4 linked regions of the Arabidopsis thaliana genome follow. The protein of the gene in region 2 interacts with the protein of the main gene of each other region in a biochemical or structural test. Each region holds a gene or a part of one and is shown on either strand. Other genes may lie near its edges.

Region 1 (5,185 bases), about 19 Mb from region 2:
CATTTGCTTCAAGTTGACATCACTTGGTATAATAGTGGTTGATTTGAATGTGCTTCTATAAGAGTTTTATTTTGGCCTCAGGGGAGGAGGCAGTGGGGAGTTTTCATGGCACAAATCCGGAACTAGATCGTTGAAACAAAATTCAATCCAAGATTTCATATACAGTGCTAAATATCTAGTCGAAAAAGGCTATGTGCATAGACATCATCTTGCTGCTGTTGGGTACAGTGCAGGAGCTATTCTTCCAGCTGCAGCTATGAATATGCACCCGAGTCTATTTCAAGCTGTGATTTTGAAGGTAAGAATATTATGGCATAGCAAATGCATTAAGTTGTGTCCAGAATAATCAAAAGCTCAAATCATTAAGGTGTGTACCATTTGGGCAGGTTCCTTTTGTAGATGTATTAAACACATTATCGGATCCAAATTTACCTCTCACACTCCTGGACCATGAAGAATTCGGGAACCCAGACAACCAAACTGACTTCGGATCGATCCTTAGCTATTCTCCATATGATAAGATACGAAAAGATGTTTGCTATCCGTCCATGCTTGTCACTACTTCGTTTCATGACTCAAGGCAAGCTAGCTTCACAAAAGAACCCTTAAACCCATATCTCTTTTTTGTTTTAAGTAAGAATCTTTGGATCATAGTTTGCGTGTGTTATTGGGTCAGGGTTGGAGTATGGGAAGGTGCAAAATGGGTGGCTAAGATAAGGGATAGTACGTGCCACGACTGCTCCCGAGCTGTGATTCTGAAAACAAATATGAACGGAGGGCATTTTGGTGAAGGTGGTCGCTATGCTCAATGCGAAGAGACTGCCTTTGATTATGCTTTTCTTCTCAAAGTTATGGGTCATCACAACAATAGATAAAAGCATCACATCATCTTTGGTTTAGCATCAAATGATTTTATAATAGTCTTTCACTTTAAGGTTAAGAGATTGCTAGCCTTTGATCTCGCTCTCTCAACAAAAAAGGAAGATCAAATCGGAAAAAAATGATGCAATAACTTGAAACCACAAGAGATCATATTTGATAGGTTACATGAATGATGCAGAAGATGATACAAACTCAGAACCACAAAAAAACGCAGAATCTACTAACCAAAGTTTATCTTAACGAGTACTATAGGAACCCCTAGAAGCCGAACAATGTACACGATACAAGGAATCTGTCAATACATTTATATATTCCAGCGCCGTGGAGCCTGAGAGAGAAATGTCACAGTGTTTTCATCCGCTTGTGAGAATGTTCAGATTCTTCCTCAACGCTTGAATCCCTTCCTTGCGTATCATATGATAATGGATTCTGTATAGAAAAATGTATCAACATCATGATATATGGCTATTGTTACAAAACTAAGTATGAAGCATTTCGAACCAACTATTTACCTTACTTGATGGCTCTTCATGAGTTAGACCTTGATTGGCTCGCTTCCCAAGATCGATCTGCACAGAAAGCTTTGCTTGCGACAGATCAATGCCTGCATTCTGGAGTGCTTGTGTTAATGAGCTCAATAACCTGGCCATTTCAGAATTAATGTCTCACAAGATTAGTACACAATGCAGTTAAAAAAAAAGGGTAGAAGCGAACACATCAATGGCAGCACAGTAACAGAAACGAGGAAGACTTAGAAGATCAGACTCACTCATGCGAGTAGGCACTAGAGATGCTAATGGTTCCACCTTCAATAACCAGGTCATTACTTTGGCCTAGCCCATCACTAGTTGCAGGACATTCATTAGCTTGTTCGCCTTGTACCATTGGAAGAATTGGTTGTAGTGGTGGTAATCCTTTGTCGTCTAACTCAGGTTGACTTTCAATCGATATGCCGGTTATAGCTCTTGCTTTGTCAGATTCAATCGGGATTTGCGGTTCTGCAATAATTGCAGGTGTCGAAGTCACAGTGTTGTCTTCAAACTTTCCAGGAAAAGGTATCCCTGGACCAGATCCATTATTTATAGCTACTGGGTGGTTCCCCAAACTTTGAACTCGCCAATGATTATTCCTCTGTTCCAATCAAGAAAACATAACCTTCAGCTAAAAGTCACACAAAGAAAGCCTTGCGGGTGCAAAAACATACTCAGAATCTACAATCACAGAAACTCATTGAGAAACCGACATAAGAAGAAGCTCAAAACTTTACCCATGGCGTCAACTTTGTTGGTTCCTGACTCCAACCTGGATACGATCCTTCATACTTTTGCACCTTCTCTTGTAAATACTGAACATAATCTATCACCTAGAATGGAATAGCGGTATTAAGCTAACAACATCTAAAAGACAGGATATTCGCACAAAGCATCATCAAATACCATGACATACCTCTAAAAGGAATGAAGCAGTGTCACGTTTTTGTTCACTGTTGGGAATTAGTTCTCTCAATATCTGAAATCTGAGAAGAGATTTATGAATTCAGCACTCAGAACAAGAACAATAATTATAATGTAACTAAGTCCTATATCAAACACCACAAAACTGAAGCAGAGCAAAATTCCCAAACACAAGTCCTAAGTATTCTTATGATTTTGTTAGCAAAGTAATTGAATTTTGATTCAGATATCAAAACAAAGAATGTCGCGTTTACTCCTAATCTCAAGTTCTCACAAAAACAACAATCCAAAAAGTTTGAAATCCTCACTTTATATCAACATACCTTTCATTGATTTTGCTTCTTCTACGTTGCTCAGTGACCGAATGTTTAGAACGTATCGCACTAGCTTTATCATTTTCCTTTGAATCTGCTTTCAAAATCAAACACCGAATCACACAGAGACAAAACTTAGAAAAATCTAATCCCAAACTATTCAAATCCATCTCGATACATATCAACAATAGCTCCAACCAAAACACAAATTGACGAAACAACAACTAAGAAAAATTCAAAAGTCTCCCAAATCGAACAATTTACCTCTGTTGCTATGAACAGTAGTGTTGGAAGAAGGACCTTCACGTTTAGAGTTAAAGTCTTCTTCTCCGTAATCTTCTTCCTCTTGATTTCCTTTTCCGGTTCTCATCTTCGCCGGAGAATTTCGACTGTTTATTGTTTTATTTTCAACTTTTGCCGTCGACGAGCTCTTTTTTGTTGCTTATTTGTTTTTTGTTTTTTGGGTGCCTCGTGACTCGGCTGAGTTCTAGTTAGCTGTGGGAGAGACTACGTGAGTTTACTTGAGCTTTTGTCCGTCAGTTTCGTGATTTGGAGACGTGTACGACTTGATGTGATTACCCGGTTAGGCCTCTAAATGAACCGTAGCTTGTGATGACACGTGGGATTCACGTGATAAGACGAGATTCTAACCTATCAGATTTAAGGTGGTCACGTGATGCACGTGGTCTCTTTCTGATCTGTTAATTTTCACGTACTATGTTTGTTTCTAATCGAACGGTGACATATGGCTATGTTTCCAAAACAATACTATAAAGGGCCGAATGGAATTATCAGACTTGGGCCAAACCCAAACTTTACAAAGGAAAAAAAGAAGTAACATATGCCTATGTTTCCAAAACAATACTATACCTTATTCGAATTTATCAGACATGGGCTAAGCCCAAAAGTTACAAAAAAAAAAAAAAGAGTAACAATACTATCAGAGCCAGGTTTCGATCCTGGGACCTGTGGGTTATGGGCCCACCACGCTTCCGCTGCGCCACTCTGATTTGTTGTTGTAATGTTAATTAGGTATATATTTATCATGGTAATGTATAACTCGTGCCAGAATATGGGCTTTGAGCCCAAATAAGAGCGTAACGGATCTGATAAGCGGGTCGGGTTTGACAAGATCCATGAAATGTGAAGCAGAAACCAAAGGTTTTATGAAGGGTTTATTTCGGCGGCTGTGTTTGTACTTCACGGCGCCTTCTCTTTTCTCCAGATCTCTCTTCTCTTCACCCAAGTCTTGTTTTTAATCTGTTCTTCGAATCTGAACTCTTTGATTTCTATGTTTGTATTAATAACTCTACAAAATCAAGTAGCTACATAGCCCGAGATTGTGCTCGTGGAGGCAGTAAACTATCTGAAGCAGCCACTATTACCATTTCGTGGCGATCACAAAAACGATTCAAAAAATGTGGAGGAACATTCTGGGAAGAGCTTCATTGAGAAAGGTTAAGTTTTTATCTGATTCTAGCTCCTCCGGTACTCATTATCCAGTGAATAGAGTCCGTGGGATTCTGTCTTCTGTTAATCTCAGTGGCGTTAGAAATGGTTTATCTATAAATCCAGTCAACGAAATGGGTGGATTAAGCTCGTTTCGTCATGGTCAATGTTATGTGTTTGAAGGGTATGCTACAGCTGCGCAAGCTATTGATTCGACTGATCCTGAAGATGAGTCTTCTGGGTCTGATGAAGTTAATGAATTGATAACGGAAATGGAGAAAGAAACTGAGAGAATCCGTAAAAAAGCTAGGCTTGCAGCTATACCGCCAAAGAGAGTCATTGCGGGAATGGGAGCACAGAAGTTCTATATGCTGAAGCAGAGACAGGTGAAAATGGAGACTGAAGAATGGGAAAGAGCAGCGAGAGAGTGTAGAGAGATTCTAGCTGATATGTGTGAGCAGAAGCTTGCACCGAATTTACCTTATATGAAGTCTTTGTTTCTAGGCTGGTTTGAGCCTGTGCGTAATGCTATTCAAGATGATCTTGATACTTTTAAAATCAAGAAAGGGAAGATTCCGTATGCGCCTTTTATGGAGCAGTTACCGGCTGATAAGATGGCTGTTATCACTATGCATAAGATGATGGGATTGTTGATGACTAATGCGGAAGGCGTTGGCATTGTTAAGCTAGTGAATGCTGCTACTCAGATCGGGGAAGCTGTTGAGCAGGAGGTGGGTTTTAATTTCTCTTGTTGCTTTTGATGCTATTTCATGATGTGTGAATCTAGGAATGTGTCATTGATACATATTGCCTTGTCCCCATGGGGTATGAAGTGTATATTGGTTTGATGGTTTGTGTATTTTGTTACTGGATCAGGTCAGGATCAACAGTTTTTTGCAGAAAAAGAATAAAAAAAATGCAACTGACAAGACGATCAATACAGAAGCTGAGAATGTTTCAGAAGAAATTGTGGCCAAAGAAACGGAAAAGGCGAGGAAACAAGTTACTGTACTGATGGAAAAAAATAAGTTGAGGCAAGTAAAAGCATTAGTGAGGAAACATGACTCATTCAAGCCATGGGGTCAA
Region 2 (4,114 bases):
CTAGGGTGTAACCAAGAAAAAGGCTGGCTTGGGCCCTCATGATCGTTTTTCTCTATGACTCATTCTCAAGCTGGGGACAGTTAGGAGAGAACCCTTGGAAAGAAGTGGAAGGTTCGGTTCATCGCAAACGACATCGTTTGAAGAAGACAACACTAGAGTAAGCCTGAAAAAAGTATAGTGTTACTAAAGATTATTTTGTCTCAGAACTGTACCATCAATTTAGTAAGCTTTTTCCTTTTCCTTTCATAAACAGATGATGTTTCAGATAAAATTTAAATATATTATCAGTACAGTAAGATTACATACTATATTAGTATCACTATTCTGCTATTCACTAGATTTCTTTTTCTTTTTCAACAAAATATGAATAAAATAAAGGCAAAAGCGTGTTAAATATAAATTCAATAAGTGACTACTCGTTGGAAGATCATATCTGCTTTGATGGGTCTATTTGTGGGGCAAATCCACTATCCAGTTTTCCTTTTGTGTTCAATGAACTATACAATTGTCAAAAAAAAAAAAACATGAGAATTAAAGAAAATCATCATGACCAATGAAGAGCAGGTCCCAACAATAATTCCGAATTATAGGCTCTGATTGTTATAGCAATCAAACAATATGCTTACAAATCACAAAACAAAATTAACGATATTTCCAAATATAGAGCTTTCCAGTTTGACTTAATAATGTTGTGTGAATATCCTCACATTTCCATTTTCGACTCTCTTTAGTAAATTTTGAAGTAGTAGAATGATGTAGAATGTTTTGTTTTATCAATCACACAGTTTTGTGAAATCACGATTTCCATCCACTATTCAAGAAAAACATCAAGTGGAAGAAATAATAAACCAAAACCATCGCAACAAAATGCATATCACGAGTATAGAATGAACAAACTACACTGTCAAATACTTAATTTAGGACTTAAACTTCGCTTTCAGACAACTTGGTTCGGAAACTTGACCATCCGTCATGTTGATATACACAATCCATCTCAAATGTAGTAGTGAATCACTATATCAGCATGTGTTATCAAACGCAAGTTGTCACTAAGATCGGAGCTTCTAGTTCAAAATGTTGATAAGTATTACGAAAGTACAATTGAATATACCAATTATACATCCAAACACGTCCATGCTTCTCCACTCGAGTTCTCTTTGGAAATCTATATAATCCGTCGGTTTGGTATTTTACTAGTTGTACGTAGTGTCTCCCCTCATATGTATTGAGTCTTTATAGTTTGTTGCCTCGTATACGATAGAAAGTAAAGGCTAAAAAACCATACTATTTCATAAAGGGTTTATTTAGTTAACTTTTAATCTAAACCATGTATCACTCCATTTTACGTATATTCGTTTTCACAAATAATCTACTAAATAATTTTGTAATGTGATAAAATTAAAGAATAAACACATGATACATAAACAGTCAGGACAAAAGTAAGCACTCATTTTCTTCTATTCATACTATAGTGAAACACTATTTTATTTTTATCCATATACTATAGTGACAAATTAATCTAATCATTAAATGTTATGAGGCTCAAAACAATTTGTTTTCTTATTTAACATGGCCGATCCCCTCATAAACCAATCAGATGGTGTGTTTTCCGGTCATACTCGTGTAGGACCCACTTCATTACAATGGCCCCACATGTCTCTCTATCTTTTTCTCCTCTTTATAAAATCAGCTCCTTTTCTTACACAGATTTAGAGAAACACAACATAAAACGTACTTCTTCTTCAAAACGCGAAACCACACTGTAAGTTACGTACACCACCACCTATCCTCACCATTCATCATCGACACGTGGCTGGTTTAACTCAAATCAACGGTGAATTCTTTTTGCTTTTTTATTTTAAATAATGAATGAAAAGATTCTTCTATAATTCCAGCGAAGAAGAAAGAAAAAAAAAAGCGTATTCCTCGTGAGCACTAACTTCTCACTCATTCTTCTTCTTCAGCTGAATCCAAATACCCATTTCCATTTTTAACCGTGGTTGGATTGTTTTGAGAGTTGAAGGAAGAAGATGACGTCTGACGGAGCAACGTCGACGTCAGCTGCAGCTGCAGCAGCAGCGATGGCGACGAGGAGGAAACCGTCGTGGAGAGAGAGGGAGAACAATCGGAGAAGAGAGCGGCGGAGAAGAGCTGTTGCGGCGAAGATTTATACTGGTCTTAGAGCTCAAGGTAACTACAATCTTCCAAAACATTGTGACAACAATGAGGTTCTTAAGGCTCTTTGTTCTGAAGCTGGTTGGGTTGTTGAAGAAGACGGAACTACTTATCGCAAGGTCAGTATCAAACGCATTTTTACTTAGATCTGATGTTATCTGATGATTTAGCTGTTGAATCTGAAGATTTGGATTTGAAATTGGTCAAATTGGGATTTTCTTGGCTATGAATTCGAGGTTTTTAGCTGAGGAAGCTCAGTTTTATTCTAAAATTGGATCGAGATTCCTTGCGGAGAAAGTGACCTTTAGGGTTCTTCTTACTAATTTGAGAACCGAATTAGCTTTACTTTCACTTGGTTACTATATTTAGATCTCTCCTTTAGCTTTTGATTGATTGTGACATTGTGATGTTTTTGGTATTGTTCTATGAGCAACAGGGACACAAGCCTCTACCTGGTGACATGGCTGGATCATCTTCTCGAGCAACTCCTTACTCTTCCCATAACCAAAGTCCTCTTTCTTCCACTTTTGATAGCCCCATCTTATCTTACCAAGTCAGTCCTTCCTCTTCTTCATTCCCGAGTCCTTCTCGAGTTGGTGATCCACACAATATCTCCACAATCTTCCCTTTCCTCAGGAATGGTGGTATTCCTTCATCGCTTCCTCCACTTAGAATCTCAAACAGTGCTCCTGTCACTCCACCAGTGTCATCCCCAACTTCTAGAAACCCCAAACCATTGCCTACTTGGGAATCTTTTACCAAACAATCCATGTCCATGGCTGCTAAACAGTCAATGACTTCTTTGAACTACCCGTTTTATGCGGTGTCTGCACCTGCCAGTCCTACTCATCATCGCCAGTTCCATGCTCCGGCTACTATACCTGAATGTGATGAGTCTGACTCTTCCACTGTTGATTCTGGTCATTGGATAAGCTTTCAAAAGTTTGCACAACAACAGCCATTCTCTGCCTCTATGGTGCCAACCTCGCCTACCTTCAATCTCGTGAAACCTGCACCACAGCAATTGTCTCCAAACACAGCAGCAATCCAAGAGATTGGTCAAAGCTCCGAGTTTAAGTTTGAGAACAGCCAAGTTAAGCCATGGGAAGGGGAGAGGATCCATGATGTGGCTATGGAGGATCTAGAGCTCACGCTTGGAAATGGTAAAGCTCATAGTTGAGATGAAGTATACATGAACCTGTTATGTCATGTCGGAAGGAAGGATTGGAGAATGAGAATTAGTGTGTTGTTCATTCAGTTCATGGTTTTGGTTCTTGTTCTAGAATCGATATTCATTGTACCAGTGAGTTTGTTTCACAACGCATTATTTGTAGATAGAATGTTTAAGATGTATGTTTCTATTATCATTCCTTTTAGGTCTTGAAAACATTACAAATATATTACATGATTAAGTGGCTTGAAATGTAAATTATATATCGGATGATGAAACAGAGAAAAACAAGTGAGGCTAAAACAAAGACTTGGGATGTAATAACAAGATCAGAGAGGTTAAGAAAGAAAAAAAAGACTTGCGATTTTAGCCATAAGATACACAAAAATTCATAATACAAAGAGGAAAGTAGAAGGCATGAAGCAGTAAACATTGGAAAAGGGAGAAATATATTAGAATCACAAATGTCAAGAAACTCGGAAAGTTTTTTTTAGCCTATCTGCTTTTCAGGTGAATCATTCAGAACCATCGGGGAAGCTATCAAGCGCGTCTTGCTTACCGTTAACGTAGAACTCAACGACGGCTTGCATTCTATTGAGCTTATCTGGATGGTAATTCACATGAACAATCACTGGTTTCACTTTCTTCTTCAGTTCATGATTCTTTCTTACAGTCTTGAAAAGGACCTTACTGTTCATAAACTCATACATATCCATGACTCTCTTGGATGCATGTAGCGCAGTGTACTCAGGATGTGAAGGATAAAAC
Region 3 (4,413 bases), on a different chromosome or scaffold from region 2:
TTATAAAGTATACATCTCCCATTTTTGTGGCCGTCGAATTTTCGTATTACATAATTACATTCAATAAAAATTCGGATTTGCAACTTGGTACTAAAATATTATGGCAAGGAGTGATAATTCAATGTAATGATGAACTTGTAAAAAAAAAATTAAAAAAATTTCAAATCCAAAAGATACGAATCTAACCTGTAAACAAAACAAAATTACAAAGGATTACAAACTTGGTTCGACTCTCGAAATTAAGTAGCAAATTCTTGTACCTCATTTCAATTTCACGGTACAAATGTTATTTTTCTTTGAATATAATTTAATATTTCTTTAAAAAATATATCTATATTTTTAATGGATAAAAATTACTTCTTAGTAAATAAAAATAATACAAATGAAAACAGTAAGATATCTACTTACCGTTTTACTAATGGTTAAACAGAAAACGGGACATTGTACGTGGAAAAAAAACATACTTAAGCAGTTTTGTTTATGATTAAAGAAAGACCATGCATTTTCAAAGTGGTTATGTAGACAAAAACCTTTTCGAGTTTCATTCCATATGTTTGATTAAACAGCCTGTTTAACACAACTTTATTATTATATCTAACGTAAATCATAAACTTTCCACAAAGTGAAAATTTCACACTTGTACAAATTGTCATTCAAAATTCCTACCTATATAAATAAATTATAGCACAACATTGACAAAAGAGAAGAAATTAAAGTAGTCTCGTGTCTCTTCTTCTTCCTTTTCTTCCGGCCTCGTGAAAACCAAATTGATTTCATCCTTTTTACTTGTTGACATTTACATACATACACATGTTCACATAAATAGATATAGTTGTATATGACTTGTGTCTATCAATCCAAAATCTTCATTATCTACTATACCAAATTCTCATACAAATATCTCTTAATCTCTTTTCACCACCTACGATATTGACATATATAACGTACAATTAATTTCATCAAAACTTAATGTGGCTGTATGACTTGTGTCTATCAAATCCAAAAATCTTCATTATCTTGTATACCAAATTCTCATACAAATATCTCTATATTTCTTTTCACCACCTACGATAACGACATATGTAACGTACAATTAATTCCATCTAAAACTATGTTTACTATAAACTCAAATTGTGGTCCATTAACACTAATCGCGAACCTTACCCGAATAAAACGTTCAACATCATGTATTCATATATGTTTATGTAACGTAATACATATAAACGCATATAAATCTATATATGGAGAAGTCGCTAACATCATGAATGACGTAGACCATCATGTAGTTTGACAATGGCCAAAGACCCACTGGTTCAATCCAAAACAGCAATTTTTTCTTTTCTTCTATATCTTAAAAAAAAAAACTATTCGTTTTGATAAAAAAACAACCAAAACAGCAAATCATGACGCAGAGAAAATCTCGTTCGTCAAAAGACCCTTTCATTAATTTCTATTATTAACAAAGCCTATGCAATACACATAAATGCAATAGCCACTATTCAATTCTTAAAATTATCGTAGCAATAAATCAAAAGTGAGAGAGGGAGATATCATATCATATATCATTATCATGTTATCATGCATGTCCCCATTATTCTTTATTTTTTAATAATAACATAAACCAATAAATTATTAAACCCAATAATATTTTTTTTGTTTGTGTTATTAGGGTTTTTGAAAGAAGCAAGCCCACATTGAATGCCACGCGGTTTTGTATGGAGGGTAGAGACTTTTCCTTTTGCCACACAGCTGACTTTGGAGGCTTTACCTCCACTTTTGTAGTTAATGCTTTACACATTTTTTATATACTTTTATTTATTATCTATACAATTTGAGAGACCCAAGAGTCCAAGACCAAGAGGGGTCAGCAAATTTCTCTTTCTCCTTTTATATATATATATAGAAGAAGAAGTGGACATAGACCTTTGTCGCCAAGCTTAACCATTAGATCCATTTCAGAGCTAAGCGTACTAATTAGTGTACTAAGGGTAGTGTGACTCATTACCACCTAAAGTAGTTTCAATTTTCTTCTATTTTTCTTGGCAAAGAGTTATAGTGGGAAACAAAGGGAGTGGTTAATAAAGAATTAATTAGTTAATTAAGGGAGTTCAAGATCATAATGGTGAGGCCTCCTTGTTGTGACAAAGGAGGAGTGAAGAAAGGGCCATGGACTCCTGAAGAAGATATCATTTTAGTCACTTACATCCAAGAACATGGTCCTGGTAATTGGAGAGCTGTTCCTACCAATACTGGTATGTATAATCTTCATTCATCATCTCTCCTCTCTACCTCTCTATAGATTTGTATGTAGATATTATTTGGATTTAATCTATGAGAGTGAGAGATAGACAAGGAATCAAATTGGTTTGGATTGAAATTTGTGTTCTCCAAATTGGTTTTGATCTTCATTTGGTTCTTCTTTAGGTCTTTAAGATTGTGGAATCAGCTTAATGAAAACATATGTAGAAATTAGGGTTTTGTTTATTGACCATGAAATTAAGATCTAATGCATGAGATCTTGTTATTTATATATTTTCTCATCGGTTCTCAATATTTGTTCGTTCTTATAAATTTTCAGGGCTGCTTAGATGCAGCAAGAGTTGTAGACTTAGATGGACAAACTATTTAAGGCCAGGAATCAAAAGAGGCAATTTCACAGAACATGAAGAAAAGATGATTGTTCATCTCCAAGCCCTCTTAGGAAATAGGTAAAAAATAATAATGACTTTTCAATTTCTCTAATTTTGTCTCTTCACACATTTTCTTTCGAAAATTAGAAGATTTGTTTTGATTTTTAATAGAGAGCATTTAATATTTGGTGTAGATGGGCTGCAATTGCGTCATATCTTCCACAAAGGACAGACAATGACATTAAGAACTATTGGAACACTCATTTGAAGAAGAAACTCAACAAAGTCAATCAAGATTCTCATCAAGAACTTGACCGTTCCTCGCTCTCATCTTCACCATCGTCTTCTTCTGCTAATTCCAACTCAAACATCTCAAGAGGCCAATGGGAAAGGCGACTTCAAACCGATATCCACTTGGCGAAAAAGGCTCTCTCTGAGGCTTTATCTCCTGCCGTTGCACCAATCATTACATCTACAGTGACAACAACGTCTTCCTCTGCTGAATCAAGACGCTCTACTTCCTCAGCTAGCGGGTTTCTTAGGACGCAAGAAACATCTACAACTTATGCCTCAAGCACCGAAAATATCGCGAAATTGCTCAAAGGGTGGGTGAAAAACTCGCCGAAGACTCAAAACTCCGCGGATCAAATCGCTTCTACAGAGGTAAAAGAAGTGATCAAGAGTGATGATGGGAAGGAGTGTGCAGGGGCATTTCAGTCATTTTCTGAGTTTGATCACTCATATCAACAGGCTGGTGTTTCACCTGATCATGAGACCAAACCAGACATAACTGGATGCTGCAGTAACCAAAGTCAATGGTCTTTGTTTGAGAAGTGGTTGTTTGAGGATTCTGGTGGACAGATTGGTGATATTCTATTGGATGAAAACACTAATTTCTTCTGAAGAGTTTGCTTTAATCACATGGTTCTAATTTTAGGATCCTCATCTCTATTTTTTTTTTTGGGTTTTCCAAATTAACTCGCTTAGATTATCGTGAGATAAATCAGTAATAATTTTATTTATTTTCCCTCTTTAATTTACAATTAATGATGGGGTTGTTTTATATATGGCCCTGTGAATTCTGAAGGGGCCTGAAAAATGTCCACCCAATGATTTTAGTAGTATTGGTGTAAAATCCTATATCTATTTTTTATTTATTAAAATGTTGTTATTGCTTGATTTTTCTTTTGCTTTGTAACTTGTAAGTATGATTTACTTTTGAGATGTTAACCTAAAAGTAATTCTGTTACAAATTAAACATACACTGACAAAAAAATTACATATATATATTGGAGAATGACCAAAAAATGCTCGCTCATATCCGGATTAATTAGTCCTAATGTGTAGTAGCCTAGTAAGTGTGGGATATAGAATTAATAATCAAATACTTACAACTTGCACTTAATTGTCAATTTATTTTCCTTAAATTAACCGTTAACTCACTAAGGAAAACACTTAACATTTATTTTAGAGTGTCAAATGGCGCCGCTCAATAAATGAAATCTTAGATTTAAAGATAGCCTTACTATTGGTGAATTTGAAAGACCTACTAATAAAGAAAATAGTACTAGTAAAGAAAAATTAACGAAATATTTATTGCATGAAATAAATAGGGCCGACAAGGTTTAAAGAAACTAATTATAAAAAGATAAATATAAATTTTAAAAACGGGATGGATTGGCACTATAAATATTGAAAGTGATGAAGAATTAAAGTTTGACTTTCTTTCTTGTGACCTTGTGAGTTGTGTGACTTACATCACATAGTTACTAAGTATGAAGAA
Region 4 (4,727 bases), on a different chromosome or scaffold from region 2:
CCAGAATCGGCGAAGTTTTTTTAAGCGAGAGAGCTTTTAAAAGATTGTGTAATCTCCAATTCCTCAGGGTGTTTAAGACTGGATATGATGAAAAAAACAGAGTGCGCATACCGGAGAACATGGAGTTTCCACCTCGTCTAAGGTTACTACAGTGGGAAGCATATCCGAGGAGAAGTCTTTCTCTTAAACTTAACCTGGAATATCTTGTCGAACTTGATATGGAAGGTAGCCTGCTCGAGAAGCTATGGGATGGAACTCAGGTTAGTTATCATAAATTCATATCTTTAATGATGTTATACATATTTTCTCTCTATTCTGATGTTTCTACTCTAACATCTGGTTTACATTCAGCCCCTTGCAAATCTCAAGAAGATGTCTTTGTCAAGTTCATGGTATTTAAAGAAACTTCCGGATCTGTCAAATGCTACAAATCTCGAAGAATTGGATCTGAGAGCTTGCCAGAATTTAGTAGAGCTTCCTTCCTCCTTTTCTTATCTGCATAAGCTAAAGTATTTGAATATGATGGGATGCAGAAGGCTAAAAGAAGTTCCACCTCATATCAACTTGAAGTCTCTTGAATTGGTCAACATGTATGGATGCTCAAGATTAAAAAGCTTTCCAGATATTTCTACAAACATCAGTTCACTCGACATATCATACACTGATGTGGAAGAACTACCTGAATCAATGACGATGTGGTCTCGCCTACGTACTCTCGAAATATACAAAAGTAGAAACCTCAAGATAGTAACACATGTGCCCCTAAACCTAACATATCTAGACCTCAGCGAGACTAGAATTGAGAAGATTCCAGATGACATCAAAAATGTTCATGGGCTGCAAATTTTATTTCTAGGTGGCTGCAGAAAACTCGCATCATTGCCAGAGCTTCCTGGTTCGCTCTTGTACTTATCAGCAAACGAGTGTGAATCACTTGAGAGCGTATCTTGCCCTTTTAATACTTCATACATGGAACTCAGCTTCACCAACTGCTTCAAACTAAACCAAGAAGCACGCAGAGGAATTATTCAACAATCATTTTCTCATGGGTGGGCATCCTTACCTGGAAGAGAGTTGCCCACTGACTTATACCACCGATCTACCGGACATTCCATCACCGTTCGTCTCGAGGGCAAGACTCCTTTTTCTGCATTCTTTGGATTTAAGGTTTTCCTCGTGATTTCCCCTAACCATGATGCTGAAGAAACTAGCAATTCTCCCTTATTTTGTCCTCGCATTGGCAAAATCGGTTGCTCCGATGACGAAACACCTATTTATATTATCCCCAAACCTCGAGCAGAACATCTAGTTATGTTTCACTCTGACTTGCATAACAAGGAAAAATGTCATGAAGTAGGCAACGAGATACTGTTTGAATTCAGCAACATATCCGACACCTATGAGATTATTGAGTGTGGTGTCAGATTCTATACAGATGAACAGGTGAAATCAGTGAAAGGAGAAATGAATATGAAATAGACCAAGTTTGTGAAGATGAAAACGATTGGAGCTATGAGTTTGGACCCGTGGAAGCATTGGAATGCTCTAAAAATAATGGACATAATGATAGCCTAATCTGTACTTCGAACGAAGACAAGATCGAAGCCAACAAATACACAGATTGTTGGAGTTGGCTCATCATCTGTTTTGATGTCTCCCATATTGTGAGAAGCATCGGAAGTTTAGTTTGGGGAGGAAGATGAGAGAAGCAAGAAGGAGAATATCAAAGTGGAGAAGTCGAACGAATTTGCAAGTGAGGAAAGAATATCTGTTTATACTTTACAATGACTTGTTTGGCTGCTTCACTGAGTTGGATATGATGAGTAGTAGCATCATACTGTTTGAATTCGGATGCAGCAAATATTACTGAAATGCAGTGTACGGATCGTGAAAACTGACAAAATTGATAGTAGCAACAACAGTGAATTAATTTGGGCCTGAAACTATCCGTTTTAAATGGGCTTTTGAGCCTTTCACATTATCTATGTAATTTTCGATTTTATCTTCCTTTTCTTTTCACCTTCTCGACGAACACACCTACACAAAAATCAATCACAGTCTCTGTCTCACTCGCCGGAGTTTCGGTCACTGCGCCATCTCCGGGGTCGAGTTCGTCGTACTTCATCGAACTATGAACTCTCATGATATCGATGATCAGTTAGAAGCAGATGTATACAGTAACTTGCCTTCTCGAAATGATTCTTCAACAGGGAGGAGAAATCGAAACTCGTGTAGATCGAAACACTCAGAGACTGAGCAACGAAGAAGAAGCAAAATCAATGAAAGGTAAATAATAAGTGTTCAAAGTTTGAATTTTTATCAGATTTTCTAAAAAGGGTAACAAGAAAGTTTCGTAATTTGTGATTGTTGGTTGGTGGATACAGATTTCAGAGTTTAATGGATATTATACCTCAGAATCAGAATGATCAGAAACGAGATAAAGCTTCTTTCTTGTTGGAGGTTAGTAAAATTTATAGTTTTGAACAGAACATGTGTTTCAGAGAATCAGAATGATGTTTGCTTTTATATGTTGTCTCAGGTTATAGAGTATATTCACTTTCTTCAAGAAAAAGTTCACATGTATGAAGATTCTCACCAAATGTGGTATCAATCCCCAACCAAATTGATTCCTTGGGTATATTCCTTCTCCTATCTTTGGTTGGTTTTCTGTTATATTGAATCGTTTTTGTTACATTTTTTTAGAGAAACATGGTTATTGTGTTAAGTGTTTCATCTTTCTTGGTATTTTTGACAACTGTTTCATGTAACTTTGATGCAGAGAAATAGTCATGGGTCTGTTGCGGAGGAAAATGACCATCCTCAAATCGTTAAAAGCTTTTCAAGTAATGATAAAGTTGCTGCTTCTTCGGGTTTTCTCTTGGATACGTACAATTCAGTAAATCCTGATATTGACTCAGCAGTTAGCACCAAGATTCCTGAACACAGTCCTGTTTCAGCAGTTTCATCGTATCTACGTACCGAGCCTTCGCTGCAGTTTGTTCAGCATGACTTTTGGCAACCAAAAACAAGTTGTGGAACAATTAACTGTTTTACAAATGAATTGTTAACATCTGACGAAAAAACATCAGCCAGCTTGTCCACTGTCTGCTCACAAAGGTAAGACATATGTAGAGCAAAATAAAGCTTTTTTTGTTCAGTAATTAATTCATTTTTTTGGTAGAAAGTTTGGGTTGGTATATAGTTTCTCACGGATGTACACTCATTTCCTTCCTGTCTGGCTCTCCTTAAACAGTGGCTTACCTTTTTTGGATACTAAGAGAGAATGATATAATACAAGGTTCCAATGATGCCTCAGCTATTTGCGGAGACTTCTTGTTTGCCTTGGCTATGAAGTTCTGTAGGATAGAGTATGAGATAAATGCTGTAAACTTGGTAATTGTTAGAGGAAAAGATTTTGCATAACCATAATCCAAAGTTTCTCTTTTGAATAGTGCTTCTCTCTCCTAAATAGGTAGTCATTCAAACTGAAGATCCTATCTGCTTCTGTATTTGGAACAGACTCAGGGTTCTAAAAACGGATAACTGGAGGAAATAAAGATGGAGAGATTTGATTGAAAACTCTTGTTTGGTTTGATTGTGAACAGGGTACTTAACACTCTAACTGAAGCACTTAAGTCATCGGGTGTTAACATGTCAGAGACCATGATATCTGTGCAGTTAAGCCTTCGGAAAAGAGAAGATCGCGAGTATTCTGTTGCTGCGTTTGCTTCTGAGGTATGCCTGTAACATTTTTACAGTGGAAAAGAAAAAGAAGTCTACTACTCTGCAAGTAATTCTTATAAAAACATTTCTATGTATTTTAATTTGTATTTTGATGCTATGTATCTTTTTCATTAGGATAATGGTAATAGCATCGCTGATGAAGAAGGGGACTCTCCTACTGAAACTAGAAGCTTCTGCAATGATATTGATCATTCCCAGAAGAGAATAAGACGATAAGATCTGGTTTTCTATTTTCTATGTTATGACAACTGTTTGATAATTTTGTTACTTTCGGTGAGTCAGGATCAGTAGGTGTAGATACTACTTTTATCGTGCTGCAACTATTTTAAATGATATAGTAAAAACTAAGTAGAATGATGTAACAAGTTTCGCAAATCTATAACAAGAGTTTGCTCCATTTAATGGTACTTTAAGTATATGGTCTCTTAGATATATCACTTCTTGCCCTTCTATTTCTCACACTATTAACCGGGAAATTATTTCGTGCTTGTTGACATGTCTGTATCAAGTAATGCGTTTGATTTGCAGAAAGGAGTCCTTGTTTTCTTGTGTCTCAAGCTTGATTTGAGCTAGAGTATCTAGATCTTTAGATTCAAGAACAGATGCAATATTCTGTAGAAGTTGAAAACTCATCTTTATTCTTTAACCTTATGTAAATATGACTGTCTATACAACAGATAGTTCATCTCTCGACTAAATGTTTGGTATATATATGTATATATTATGATACTCTTGTTCGATTAAGGAGGCTGTTTGTTTGCTGAAGGAGATGAAGCAGGAGGAGGGCCAGGTTTGTTTGGTGGTGGTAGGAATGGGAATGGAGGAAATGGAAAGATCGACGGAGGTGGAGGAGGAGGAGGAGGAGGTGGTGGTGGTGGATTTAGGCCTGGAAAGATCGGTGGCAGTGGAGGAAAGAGAGACCATGGTGGAGGAGGAGTGGGAAGAGGAGGACGAGGCTGAAATGGGTTTGGAGGGAATATCGA

Evidence for each region.
Region 1: the proteins of BES1 (region 2) and BIM2 form a complex in vitro, tested with the Arabidopsis thaliana proteins (one study listed by BioGRID).
Region 3: the proteins of BES1 (region 2) and MYB30 form a complex in vitro, tested with the Arabidopsis thaliana proteins (one study listed by BioGRID).
Region 4: the proteins of BES1 (region 2) and BIM3 form a complex in vitro, tested with the Arabidopsis thaliana proteins (one study listed by BioGRID).

The regions. Positions count from the first base shown.
Region 1 is NC_003070.9:25,939,639-25,944,823, reverse strand, and holds BIM2 (BES1-interacting Myc-like protein 2), read right to left. Parts: upstream 3,196-5,185; 5' UTR 3,021-3,195; coding exon 2,915-3,020; intron 2,745-2,914; coding exon 2,660-2,744; intron 2,399-2,659; coding exon 2,329-2,398; intron 2,246-2,328; coding exon 2,150-2,245; intron 2,014-2,149; coding exon 1,652-2,013; intron 1,525-1,651; coding exon 1,395-1,524; intron 1,312-1,394; coding exon 1,225-1,311; 3' UTR 876-1,224; coding exon of another isoform or gene 677-875; 3' UTR 581-676; downstream 1-580. Other genes in the region: AT1G69020 (Prolyl oligopeptidase family protein), read left to right, coding at 82-298, 387-580, 677-875; MGP3 (male gametophyte defective 3), read left to right, coding at 4,069-4,830, 4,976-5,185. UniProt on the Arabidopsis thaliana protein: Positive brassinosteroid-signaling protein.
Region 2 is NC_003070.9:6,686,811-6,690,924, forward strand, and holds BES1 (Brassinosteroid signaling positive regulator (BZR1) family protein), read left to right. Parts: upstream 1-1,724; 5' UTR 1,725-1,869; coding exon 1,870-1,928; exon of another isoform or gene 1,929-2,023; coding exon 2,024-2,294; intron 2,295-2,611; coding exon 2,612-3,355; 3' UTR 3,356-3,601; downstream 3,602-4,114. Other genes in the region: RRA3 (Nucleotide-diphospho-sugar transferase family protein), read right to left, coding at 3,862-4,114. UniProt on the Arabidopsis thaliana protein: Positive regulator of brassinosteroid (BR) signaling. Transcription factor that activates target gene expression by binding specifically to the DNA sequence 5'-CANNTG-3'(E box) through its N-terminal domain.
Region 3 is NC_003074.8:10,909,324-10,913,736, forward strand, and holds MYB30 (myb domain protein 30), read left to right. Parts: upstream 1-1,808; 5' UTR 1,809-2,119; coding exon 2,120-2,252; exon of another isoform or gene 2,253-2,578; coding exon 2,579-2,708; intron 2,709-2,824; coding exon 2,825-3,533; 3' UTR 3,534-3,867; downstream 3,868-4,413.
Region 4 is NC_003076.8:15,556,952-15,561,678, forward strand, and holds BIM3 (BES1-interacting Myc-like protein 3), read left to right. Parts: upstream 1-1,949; 5' UTR 1,950-2,131; coding exon 2,132-2,286; intron 2,287-2,384; coding exon 2,385-2,460; intron 2,461-2,539; coding exon 2,540-2,635; intron 2,636-2,779; coding exon 2,780-3,117; intron 3,118-3,605; coding exon 3,606-3,735; intron 3,736-3,858; coding exon 3,859-3,960; 3' UTR 3,961-4,175; downstream 4,176-4,727. Other genes in the region: AT5G38850 (Disease resistance protein (TIR-NBS-LRR class)), read left to right, coding at 1-260, 352-1,479.